Bombyx mori: one gene and its partner. The protein of the gene in region 2 interacts with the protein of the main gene of each other region in a biochemical or structural test. Links are inferred from orthologs where the notes say so. Each region holds a gene or a part of one and is shown on either strand. Other genes may lie near its edges.

Region 1 (6,522 bases), on a different chromosome or scaffold from region 2:
TGTCGGTAATTTAATTGATTACAAACAAATATTTATCCATAAATCTACTTTAACTTTTTTTTTGCAGGCTAGTTGGATTGGAAGCTTGATGCCTTTGGCGGCACTCGCAGGTGGAGTGATCGGTGGACCCTTGGTGGATTATTTAGGAAGGCGTAGAACTATACTACTTATAGCTCCGCCATTCTGCGTGGGATGGATAGTTATAGCCATAGCACACGTTGTCGAATTGGTTTTTGTCGGGCGTGCTATTTGTGGATTATGTGTTGGTGTGGGATCTTTAGCCTTTCCGGTTTATTTAGGGGAAACAATCCAACCAGAAGTCCGAGGAACTTTAGGACTATTCCCTACAGCAATTGGTAACATAGGTATCTTAATTTGTTACCTAGCTGGCACATATTTAGACTGGTCCGCGCTTGCATTTCTGGGTGCTGCTATGAACATTCCATTCTTTATTTTGATGTTCATTATCCCGGAGACACCCCGATGGTATATTTCGCATGGTCGCATGGAAGAAGCTCGAAAAGCACTACAATGGCTTAGAGGGAAAAATTGTGATATCGAGAGTGAAATTCGAGAGATTGCAGTTTCAGACGCAGAGGCTCAAGCCGATGATGCAAGCATACGAGATCTTTTTAGCATCAAATATACGAAGGCGATACTTATTTCTCTCGGTTTGATGGCTTTCCAACAGCTTTCTGGTATAAATGCCGTCATATTCTATACTGTGACAATATTTCAAATGTCAGGAAGTTCTGTGGACGAAAACCTTTCAGCAATTATTGTAGGAATCGTTAATTTCGCTTCCACTTTTGTCGCTACGGCGCTAATAGATAGAGCTGGACGAAAATTGTTATTATATATCTCTTCAGTGACCATGACTATTACTTTAATTATTTTGGGTACATTCTTCTATGTTAAATACCAAGCAAAATTAGATGTATCTGATTTGGGTTGGTTACCACTGACTACCGTTATGATATACTTGTTAGGATTCTCACTGGCTTTCGGGCCAATACCATGGTTAATGATGGGTGAAATTTTGCCAGCAAAGATTCGAGGTAGCGCTGCTTCAATCTGCACGGCATTTAACTGGCTATGTACATTTATTGTAACAAAAACATTTCAGAACATTGTTGATGCGATCAGCGCGGCGGGCACGTTTTGGCTCTTCGGGAGTATTTGTTTTGTAGGCTTATTCTTTGTTATTGTTTGCGTACCAGAAACGAGAGGCAAAAGCCTTGATCAAATTGAAAATAAAATAACCGGTAGAGAAGAGAAACCCAGAACTCGTCGACTAAGCTCGATAGCAAACATTAAGCCTTTGCCAAACGGATGCTAAGAAGATGTTTTAAGCATTTATTAATTGAATAAAATTAGCTTTAAAGTAGCAATTAATAACTTTTACTATATTCTTTTCACAATTTTTAGGCAGTAAAAACGTTGTGTAGAAAAAGATTTCTATAAAAAAATCTTATATCTAATAGTACAATGGTATCATACTTAGTTGTTGTAACTGGTTCTATTGGTAGGTAGACTTTACGAGGATTATAATTTATGACATGAATGCCAAAGTATTTTAGTAGTTTTTATTGGGAAATTATTACATTTAGTAACTATTTATAATGATTTTATTTTGTAGTTTGTATCATACACTACTTCATGTAAAATACTAAGCTTTTTGGCAATCTTATAACAGAGTTTAATCTATGCCGTAAAGTTAAAATCATAAGTTACTTATTTAGTTTGGTGGTAGGACCTCTTGTGAGTCCGCACGGGTAGGTACCACCGCCCCGCCTATTTCTGCCGTGAAGCAGTAATGCGTTTCGGTTTGAAGGGTGGGGCAGCCGTTGTGACTATACTGAGACCTTAGAACTATATCTCAAGGTGTGTGGCGCATCTACGTTGTAGATGTCTATGGGCTCCAGTAACCACTTAACATCAGGTGGGCTGTGAGCTCGTCCACACATCTAAGCAATAAAAAAAAAAAAAAATAGTTACTTATATTAGTTGTAATAAAAAATGTTTTTTTTAAACTTTAATATGAAAATAAATGGTAAGATCTAAAGAATAAATTTCACTTAATGGAAAGAGAGTCACATCCTTAAATTATAATTCGAACCATTACAATTCACAGAATCATTACATTGAAGGCACTGTACTAATCTCTTTTAATCGAATTGTGCCTATGAATAGAGTTATATGTACCTGCAATTTCAAATTTTAGAACTAACTAAGAAAACAATAGTTAACTATTATTTTTACGAAACAAGGGGGGCCAGACCACATGGAATCTATATTGTACAGCTTTCAAACATATTGATTTGTCGGTCCAATGACTATTATTATTTATTTGTTTAATTTGACAAGCACACATATTGATATGAATTGTAAGTGTAACTATGTTTCCATTCATGAAAGTTAGTAAACAGTTCAAGTTAAGAGGAGACATATTGGTAATGTTCAAAAGTATATAGCCCACCCAGAACCAGGACATGACCCAGGACCTAGGTGTTATTATGTTATATTATGTTGTATTAAGAGAGAATTATTAGAATTAAAGAAAGTATGATCAATCGATTCTGCTTTTACTACGGCAAAATAATATTTATGTTTAAGTCAGTATTCTTTACAATTCTTTAACAGATTGATGGATTAATAAACAGGATTATTTCAATGTAATATAATGAAATTTAAACTAAAATGCCTTAATTATGGCCTTAAATTTAAAGCGTAATTAAATAGTTTGAGAATAATTCACACGCACACAACATTTTTAATTTTGAAAATCCAAATATATAACATTGATAGAACAATATTACTACTGTTTTGTTTAATATATTAGTAATTATATTCTATCCCTAAATAATGTAATCATTTTAAAAAAAGTAATGACTCTCAATGCTAATTGGCAACATTCATCTTAACTTAAAATAAAAATAAAATACTTTTAAGAAAACATACTTAGTGCTCAAAATCTAGTTCTAATTATGATCGGCACAGCACACTAAATATTACTTGTAATATGATTATAGTAGGGTAGTAATATTTTCTTTAATAGTTCTATATATTCTAATCTGGAAAATAACTGTCATCTTGTCCAAGCAATTAATTTGTTAAATAAATTTGACTCACTATCACTTTGATGAATATCTATGAATTGATTCATAAACAACATAAATAATTAAAAACTTACCCATTACTTGCACGCGGCAAATAGCGCAAGTATCACATTCAACATCCCAACTCCACATTGCAACAGCATTCCATTTTTTCAATGTGAACATTTTATCGGATTTTGGACCATCGTTATCCCCACGGTCCATACCATCACAGTCTTCACCGGACATAATGTATGCGTTTTAATGTTTATGGTAAATATTTAAGGTAACTATTGAAAATTAAATGCGTACATTTACAATGCTCGACTTGTTTACTATTTTTAAAAACATAATCAGGTGAGATTTTGAAGTGGCAGTGACAGCTTTGACAGACTGACTTTTCTAATTGTTGCGGTAAAAGGAAATAGCCTATACTGATAAAGATTTAATTTAAAGAGTAATCTTCGACGTAATGTTCGTATAAACTCTGAATTACATCCACGCAATTAATGAATGAATAATCATCCCATGAGTTTTTTAATCCGGGGAATATTGGCTTAAAGTTAACAAAAAGAAACTAGATGGCGTTGGTGGGTTAATTCATAACATTAGTGTAACAGCAACCGTAAACGTATTTTACAGATGTACCCTGTGCGTCAGTTGAACTGCATGACATATTGGACTGTTTAGGACTGACTCGGAGGTACAGTACCTAGCGGCCTTGATTGTTGCGCCGAGGGTTATGTGTTAGATTCCCACATCGAGCAAACATTGCGTGATGAACAGTTTGTTTGCTCTTTGTTTGGGTGTTTATTATCTATATACATATGTATATATTTGAACGTATATAAGTATGTTAGTAGTCTCTGGTACCCGTAACACAGGGAATCCTAAATTGGGGCCGGATGACCGTGCTTAATTAAAAATAAAAAGGTTTAAAAAGCGTTAGATCAAATTTGATAAATAAATAGTCTAAATCGCAATACCTTCTTTTTTTTGCGCGTCGTAGGCAGAACGCCAGCCAGATGGTCAGATCTGGTTGGTGGTAGTCTATATCATGCGGTCCATGCCACCCATGATCAAACACTGTGGATGAAAATCACATGTGGTCGCGATCCTCAGCGGTGAGAGAACGATGAAAAAGAAGATGGAAATTAATTCCAATCGATTAATGTCTCATTTCGCTTCATATAATTTTTCATATTACGACACAATGTTATAAGATAACATTAATACAATACTTGGTTTACGATACGATAGCTTTACGATAGTTTGGCCTCAAATTTGAAAACGACCCAGATCGTCTTGTGGAATTTCACCCTGCCTATTTCTCTAACGAAGTAATAAACATAATAAGTGCATTATCTATGACGAAGTAGTAGGTAATGCCTTCCGGTTTCATGAATGGGGCCATTGATTTAGTGATGTGTTTGTACTTCGGTTCCGGTGGTAGATTCTGCGAAGCATAGTTCTTGCTACGGTCAGTGTTAGCACACTCAAGTTGAGCCCCGCGAGCTCACCTACCAAATAACTCAGAACTAATAACATATATAGAATAAAAAATAATACAAAGGCTATTTGTTACAGTAGATTTTATTTATAAAAAAACACGAAAATTGCTTAAAGTCTACGTTTATACTTAATGTATTATATATGGAAACTATATTTTGTATAAAATAAGTACAATAAACCCTGTTATATCTGGTTTTTATAATATGTATATATTATAATATTTAATGTTTTATACTCAATAGGCTCCGCCACGCTTTTTGTACAATCTTATTGTAAATTGGAAATCTTAAACTACACGTGTATGAAACAAAATACGATATTCAAAATGAACGATAACTTATAGATTTGTTTTGTGTTAAAAGTAGGTTGGTACTATTACTATCGGTAGGAAAAAATAACGCTTCTCCAAATTTAATACCCGCAGTTAGAATATTGCGAGATACAAAGAAGTCAGAATAATTGCGAGGCTGGCTCCTAGACTTGATGCTCCACTAAAACACCCCAGGTCTTCAATTTGGACTTGATATCTAATGTTGTATGGGAATCTGCATACCGAAGCATCTAGAATTAAAAAACAGTCCATTAGGAATGACCATTTCTTTATGTGAAATTTGTTAAAAAAGGTGTAAGAGGAAAAAACATATAATTTGAATGAATCTCTTATTAGTCAATACTTACTAGGTACTCAATTAAAAAGTGACATAACTATTATTAATATTAGTAAAATACCCATATAATTTTGGATGTAAATCATACCTGTGCAAATCGCGCTTGTGGCATCAACACCACCAGTTTCTGATTGTACGGAAATGTGTAGTGGTGGACATGATCCTATGGTCCAAAAACTGTCGCAAGCATTCTGCAGCCTTATTTCAATATTTCCGGTGGAAGCCAAATTCTCACAAGTTATTGCGCTTGGATCAAGTCCTACTATTGTTGTGTTGCGTCTGGAAGTCAAAGAATTTTTAAAGGCATCTCGAATAATACCATCCTTTTCCCGTGGCAACAGCGTTTTTAGACTATTTCTAAAGCGATCGTCTACTGGCATTTACTGGTGCAAGAACGAATTTGTGAGCCCGCACGATTTGGTACCACAATTACATTTACAAGTTTAATATTTACTTTTCTTTACGTCACAAAACTTTGTAAACGTAAGCAGAGTCTAGATAGGGTAGAATGGAAGGAATTGGCAAGCACTGTCCGTTGTTTTTTTAATGCTGAGTTTATCGTAATTAACCTGTGAACTGCGTTGTGTATCGTGATCTGTAAACTCTAAATACCAAGACCATTATTATTTTTTTGCCCGGATTCCTGCATTTACCCCAGAAGAGTGTCCAGGAGCGTCATAATATTGTCGGCCGCTCCTTTGAAATTTCTACTTAACTGTGAAGTTTAAGGGTATTACGATGGTCTCTCATAAGCTCTTAAAACCGGGTGGAGCATGAACTTGTTTGTCCATGTTTTGCAATTAAGAAAAAATTATAAAAATCTAAGGAATACTTAACTACGTTCACGGAATAACTGAATTAAAATATACATAGATACGTATGTTTATATGAGTTCTAAATTATATGTACTTAGTCTGGCCATAAATACTGTTACAATTAAAAATAAAAAAATATTACATTTGAATTTGGAATCTGTCGTTTTTATATGATTGCAATGCAATACATTGTACAATATTTTGCGATATTAAAATGGAGTGGGGTGATAAAGAGAACCGAATCGCTGTGATTGCATTACACATTACACAAAGTAGGTATGGAGCCAAATGCAATTTTTAAAACTCTCCATACGCTTGGTATTAGTAAAATGTTTGTGTACCGGGCTATTAATAGGTGCAATGAGATCTCCTCTGTTTGTGACAGAAAAAGATCTGGCCCTCCACGTAGTGTTCGTTCAAAAAAGGTGG
Region 2 (6,261 bases):
GTTGATTACAGAAATCAGTATTTTAAAGCCGTTGGTTTTTAAAGTAATTGAAATTAATGTTACACATAATCAGTAAGATGCTTAAGGAAAGAAAATAAGGAAAATAGCACTACTAGAAAACAGAAAGCAATTAACAAGACAGTATAGTACTTACTTGAATATTCATATTATCGTCAAACAGTGTGCCTGAATACAAAATTCTATTCAAAACTAAAAGTAATTACAGAGTATTGCATCTTAAATACTCTACAAAACTTTTATTTTTACTATTATTAAATAATTTCGTTCCAGATTTCCAATTTCACGCTCAAGTAGACATTAAATTCACCAATGAAAGTGAAAGTATCGCGCGTAATGATTTGTATAGGTAGCCTAACAACGCGATTATTTACGCATAGCATCAGCCCGCTGAGTTTCTGGCCGGTTCATTTCAGCCGATCGCGATTTCGATACTGTTTTACATGCATTCGCATCTGTCTTTGAGATGCTAGGTCACCTTCTGACTCTTTCTCTTTAAACTTTACCCCTCTTTGTTGAGGCCGTGCTCAGCCACCTATTCTGATGAGGTTGAAAGGCCTTTGGGCCAATAGCAATACTCAACCCCTTAAAAAAATTTACTCACTATTTAAGAAAATTGTTAAGACGAAATCGCCACAACAGTAACGCTACACCACCAGGCAATCGATGGCAGTAGAAATTATCAAAATGTATTTCACGACATCCCGTCGATGGCGAAGATAAACTGCTTTTTTTCCTACCTAGCTGAGAGCCTTGAGAGGCTATTTCAGCGTAACCTTAACTAGTAGGTGAGCTCACGGGGCTCAAACCAGACGACGTTGCTAACAAGAACCCTAGCAAGAGCCGTGCTTCGCAGAATCTGCCACCGGATCGGAAACGCGACCCATTGAAAAGATCTGGTAAGAAACTCAGTGGGCTATGTCTGAGGGTTCATTTACTCGTTGAGCCCTTCGTCGCAAGCGAAGGGTGCGACAATTACCGATGCTTGAGGTACCTAAAAGCACCGTTAGTGGATCGGTAGGCAGCGGCTTGGCTCTGCCTCTGGCATTGCTGAAGTCCATGGGCGACGGTAACCACTCACCATCAGGTGGGCCGTATGCTCGTCTGCCTACAAGGGCAATAAAAAAAAAAAAAAAAAAAATCCGAAATGACGTGTTTGGGGCGACGTCGACTGCTTTCCATTCTTTCCGCAGGATCGGGAATGTAGTTACCGGCGGCCACGATGAGAGGGTTCTCATGTCCTGCCGCTTTATCGAAGTGGATTAGACTGCGATTTCTAGGCAACCAATGAGTTTCAAAGTTCTTTGCAAAGAATTTGTTGACTAGTTGAGTAATTACCCTAATTACGGTAACATGCTGTTCTAGTTAAACTCGCGGTCTTCCCGATCTTCGTAAGAAGTCTTTAAAGTCTCATGCAATTATTATATTTTAGCCTGCAATGAAGACGAGCGTAACAGCAAGGTGGTGACAGTCGCCAGTGTCTACTACACGATCAGATTCGCAAACCCCTGAGAATATTATGCTTGAAACTCGGCACAGCCGCGGCCTGAAGTTATAGGCCACCTAAATCTCATGCCGAACTCTTCGACGAGCTCAACGAGCATCTACAGTTAATTGCCATTATTTATATTAAGACAATGTGTTAATTTTTAAACATAGAAAGCGAAAGATATAGAGATTTGTATAATAATATAGTTAATAAATACTAATCTAATTATAAGTTTACATTTATTCGTTGGTTAGTCGTCGCTCAAGCTAACCATTAACTGAAGTTAGTATAATTTAAGTCTAGCTGTAGCCATGGGCTTTGAGTAGCTCCTTCACTTTGAAGTAGAAACTCACTTTCCCACCAAAATATGAATAAACAAAAACGCGCCATGTTGTTCGGATTACCGCCTCCACTACAGATATTTTTGTACTTTATAGTTGGAGGAATTCACAGCTCACTCAAAACCCATAAGCACCCGACGTGAATGCCACTCTACCCAGCTTGGAATACTTACAATTGTGTTGTAGAGTTGCTATCCCATTTCAAACCAAGACACATCATGACTTAAATAGCTAGGGATTATCATGACTCAAATAGCAGGTAGCTATCCGTGCAGGCTCACTCTCTACGTACCAGTAATTACGAAGACTAGGTAATGATAAAATGAAATGAGATATGTAATTAATAAGATGAAATAATAAAATGTTTCAAAATGAAATTGTCTAGTAAACTAATCGAATATTACTCTGGCTAATCTTAATTTTTCATTTGGACATATTTATCTAAACTTAAACAGAACAAACAAACAGAACTAAAAAAATCAATACCTACCTAATCGCCTCTTTTATTCTAGTAATCCTATTTAAAATAGCATACAGGTACTATTACATTTAAAATGCGCAAACAATTTTTTAACTTTATCGGGCACATTGTATTAGGCAAAAATTAATACGTTTAAAATTTCATCGTCACATAAAAAGTACTAGGCCAAATTTAAAAAAGCGGGTAAATGAAATCTAAATTTTGAAAGCGATTATCATTTTGAAATTATTTGTGACATGAAATTATTTTATCCACATGTTATAGTATATTCGGATAATCTTATGTTTAAAACTATAATGTTCAGTTATTTATCTTGATTTGACCTATTTAACATATTTATTATGGTTTATTTCAGACCACCTTCTAACATATTCGAGATTAGTGTAAATCAGCATTAAATTATTTTTTCAATTGACCGTGTAGATGGCGCTTTTTAATACGTCAATCAAACAAAGGCCGCCATTACATTGCACTGTCAAATAACGAGATTACCAATAAAATCGTAGCTATTTCAAATTCAACAGGAAGTTGACGACGATTAACTGAAAAATTGGTGTCCCTTGCTATTTTAAGAAAGTGTTCATTTGATTTCCTTAAAATATTATGGCTCAAAACATCAATCCACATTACGCGTCGTCTTCGAACCCAGCTAAGCAGAGTGAAGACACGATTAAACTAAAAGACAATCATGCTGTGAGCAAACGGTGAGTTTTATTATTTTTACCACAACTTTTTCGTAATACCACGGCAAACACCCACGTAGACAACATACAATACAATTAGACTTGCGCAAAACATCACTTCCCAATGTAATGTGATATGACATCACTTTTACAGATAGGTGATATTACTCGAAAACATTACACATCACTCTTAACATTACTCGGTGCGTTCAAAGTGATGTGTATAAACACATCACTTAGGTAATGATTCGGGTGTATAGATACAATGTATTCGTCGTCACAGTATCTATTGAACGCACCGAGTAATGTTAAGAGTGATGTGTAATGTTTTCATCAATCATTACCTAAGTGATGTGTATAAACACATCACTTAGGTAATGATTCGGGTGTGTCATTACAATAGTGTATTACAATACAAAGTATGAACTTTGTATTGTAATACACTGTTATATTACTTGACAGATTGACTTACTTAATAATATAATAATTTTATTTTTTACTTAATATAATTTATTGTGGGATGAACGGATTTCATATGGCGACTTAGACTGCAAATTGAGCTCGACAATAATGTTAATATACGAGAGCAGTAGATGCATTGTTTCGGTGCGATATCCTCAAAAATATCCTCAAAAATCCAAGGAGGACTGTACTTTCATCTAAATGAACGTACGTCTAAACGCCGTTATTTCTTTCACTTATTAAACACGCATTAAAACAAATAATAAAACTATCTTCAAACAAGTGCTTAAGTAATTCAAATCAAACACAAAAATTAATATGAAATATTACTAAACAATTACGAGCGACTAGCGATTTTACAAAAGTTGCGAATAAAAAATTAAGTAAGTACTTGCGGGGAGCTACCGGCTGGCCGCATGAAAAATATAAACACAAATACCTATATTAAAATTCAGACGTACCATAGGTATAAAAATGTACCTAGCGGCCAGGACATATGGTTCAAAATCACTAGGAATAATTCCGTGTCGCTTGCTCATTTATTTTGCGTCGATCGGTCTGTCTCGCTCGCTCGGTTCCGTTCGTGTATTACACGACAAAGAAAGAAACATGTTGGGTGATAGTGTGATGTTTGTTTCCTTCGCGTAATGTGTGATGTTGCATTACATCGTAGAGTAATATTACCCGAGTAATATCACTCGCATTACTTACACATGTCTAAATACAATATATTTTGGTCCTTAGTATCGAAGTAGCGATTTGTGTCTAACGGTTTTTTTCCCACGAAAAAGTCTCGATTATTCTGTTCACTTGCATTATTGTTGGTTTGGGCTGTTTTAAGCACATTATGTAAATGATCATTTAGTGCATGTAATACAAAAGCGCCGAAAAAGTAAAAACCAAATAAAACTATTACACTTTACATAATGTGGTAAATTTAAAAGCACAGTTTTTAGCAGGTATAGGCATTCTCATTGGTTAAAGCGATAATTTTACAATAATTAATGTTCAGTAGGTAGGAATAAGTAAACTTTTTAAAAAGGTTTGTTAATTAGTCACCTTTTCTACATTAAATAGCATCAAGAGCCTTAGACCTTTAGACGCTTTCTAATTTGTGAGATTCTTAAATGTAAATTGTTTATATAGAATTACTTCTCTAGAACAATTACTACCATGTGAATGAATATACCTCCACCCAGAAAATATTGCAAGTGATATAAAATTTACACTCACACTACAACATCAGTCATTCCACATATGGCAGCATCCTATTTACCAAACAATAATTCTGCAAAAACAGAAATTTTATGTCATTACTGGTCAACTAACATTTCATTAGAAATGTTTCAAAGACTCACTACTTAATTAATAAACCTGCTATTAGATTAATGCACTTAAAAAAAACACTATATGCCATTACTTTTGTGTTATAATTTGCATAATTCAACTCATTTTATATTTCTTTTTAATAGACTCCAGAAAGAGCTAATGGAGCTAATGCGGTGCAGTGATAAAGGAATATCAGCATTCCCTGAAAGTGAAAACCTCTTCAAATGGATCGGGACCATCAATGGACCTTTAGAAACTGTATACGCAGGCCACAAATACAAATTATCACTTGAATTTCCAAATTCATACCCGTACGCACCACCTGTTGTCAAATTTATGACTCCGTGTTTTCATCCAAATGTTGACACGTGTGGTTTAATATGTTTAGATATTTTAAAAGATAAGTGGACGGCTTTATATGATGTACGTACAGTATTGTTGTCAATCCAAAGTCTTTTAGCAGAACCAAATACACAAAGCCCTTTAAACCAGCAAGCATCATATCTATGGCCGAACCAAGCTGCCTATAAAAAATATTTAGATGAATTTTACAATAAACATAAAGACTCATAGTCTGTTTTAGAGATTATAAGTGTGTTTTATTTTTCGTTGTAATATTTTTGTGTCGTGGATATTTCAGATTGTGACTGTTGAGGGTTGGTTGGGCTCAGGTTTTGTCTGCTTAGACACTGCAGTCTTGCAAAAAAACTTAATTTTAGACCATACTTTGTAATTTATATTAAAATTTGTAAAATACACTACGGTTGAAATAAATTAATATCACAACTAGACTTGCATGTAACATTCAATTTTTCAATTATTTTTTTTGTGACAAATAATCAGCCCCAGCTGTCGTTCATCTGAAACTTGATGTACATTGTGATCACAGACAATTATAATTATTTAGTGCAATTGAGACATGCTTTCATTTCTCCTTCCATCCTATCACATGTTTTATGCTTTATTTGTTGAAGGGTCGGGAAATTTAAAATAACAACTTGATGTCTTGGTGGGTGGCGGCATAAACGTAACGATATCTATGAGCTCTGATAATCAGTTAGCATCACTCAGTGACCATGTTCACCCACCTAAACATTAACAAGGTTAAATAATAAAAAGGAAAAAAATCGTACGCCTCTGCTAACATAATATATTTCATCAGTTCTGCTACAACTAACGGGCTTCTATCGTTTTCATTTTTACGCCTCCGGTAATCTGTCCCCACGACCAGAAGAACCCCACTTTGGTCGCCGCGTGCGTAGTCTGCATTTGAGAAAACGTTCACACCACTGGCTATCGAGTCTTTTTTTTATTGCTTAGATAGGTGGACTTAAATGCCTTAGTGCTATTATGAAAATCAGGTGATCGTCTTGCGACGTGCCAATGTTGATGGCATTGAGGCATATTTAATGCGTCGACAGCTTCGGTGGTGCGGTCATGTATCACGCATGGCGGAGG

What was found.
Region 1: the proteins of ubiquitin-conjugating enzyme E2 C (region 2) and RING-box protein 2 form a complex in vitro, tested with the Homo sapiens proteins (4 studies listed by BioGRID). The link is inferred for Bombyx mori from reciprocal best matches to the Homo sapiens genes UBE2C and RNF7.

What each region holds. Positions count from the first base shown.
Region 1 is NC_085111.1:9,082,868-9,089,389, reverse strand, and holds the start of RING-box protein 2, read right to left. Parts: upstream 4,077-6,522; 5' UTR 3,348-4,076; coding exon 3,194-3,347; intron 2,576-3,193; exon of another isoform or gene 1,340-2,575; coding exon of another isoform or gene 68-1,339; intron 1-67. Other genes in the region: facilitated trehalose transporter Tret1, read left to right, coding at 68-1,339; uncharacterized protein LOC101738136, read right to left, coding at 5,035-5,171, 5,367-5,557. UniProt on the Homo sapiens protein: Catalytic component of multiple cullin-5-RING E3 ubiquitin-protein ligase complexes (ECS complexes), which mediate the ubiquitination and subsequent proteasomal degradation of target proteins.
Region 2 is NC_085126.1:12,141,925-12,148,185, reverse strand, and holds ubiquitin-conjugating enzyme E2 C, read left to right. Parts: upstream 1-2,687; 5' UTR 2,688-2,932; coding exon 2,933-3,033; intron 3,034-4,946; coding exon 4,947-5,376; 3' UTR 5,377-5,717; downstream 5,718-6,261. UniProt on the Homo sapiens protein: Accepts ubiquitin from the E1 complex and catalyzes its covalent attachment to other proteins. In vitro catalyzes 'Lys-11'- and 'Lys-48'-linked polyubiquitination.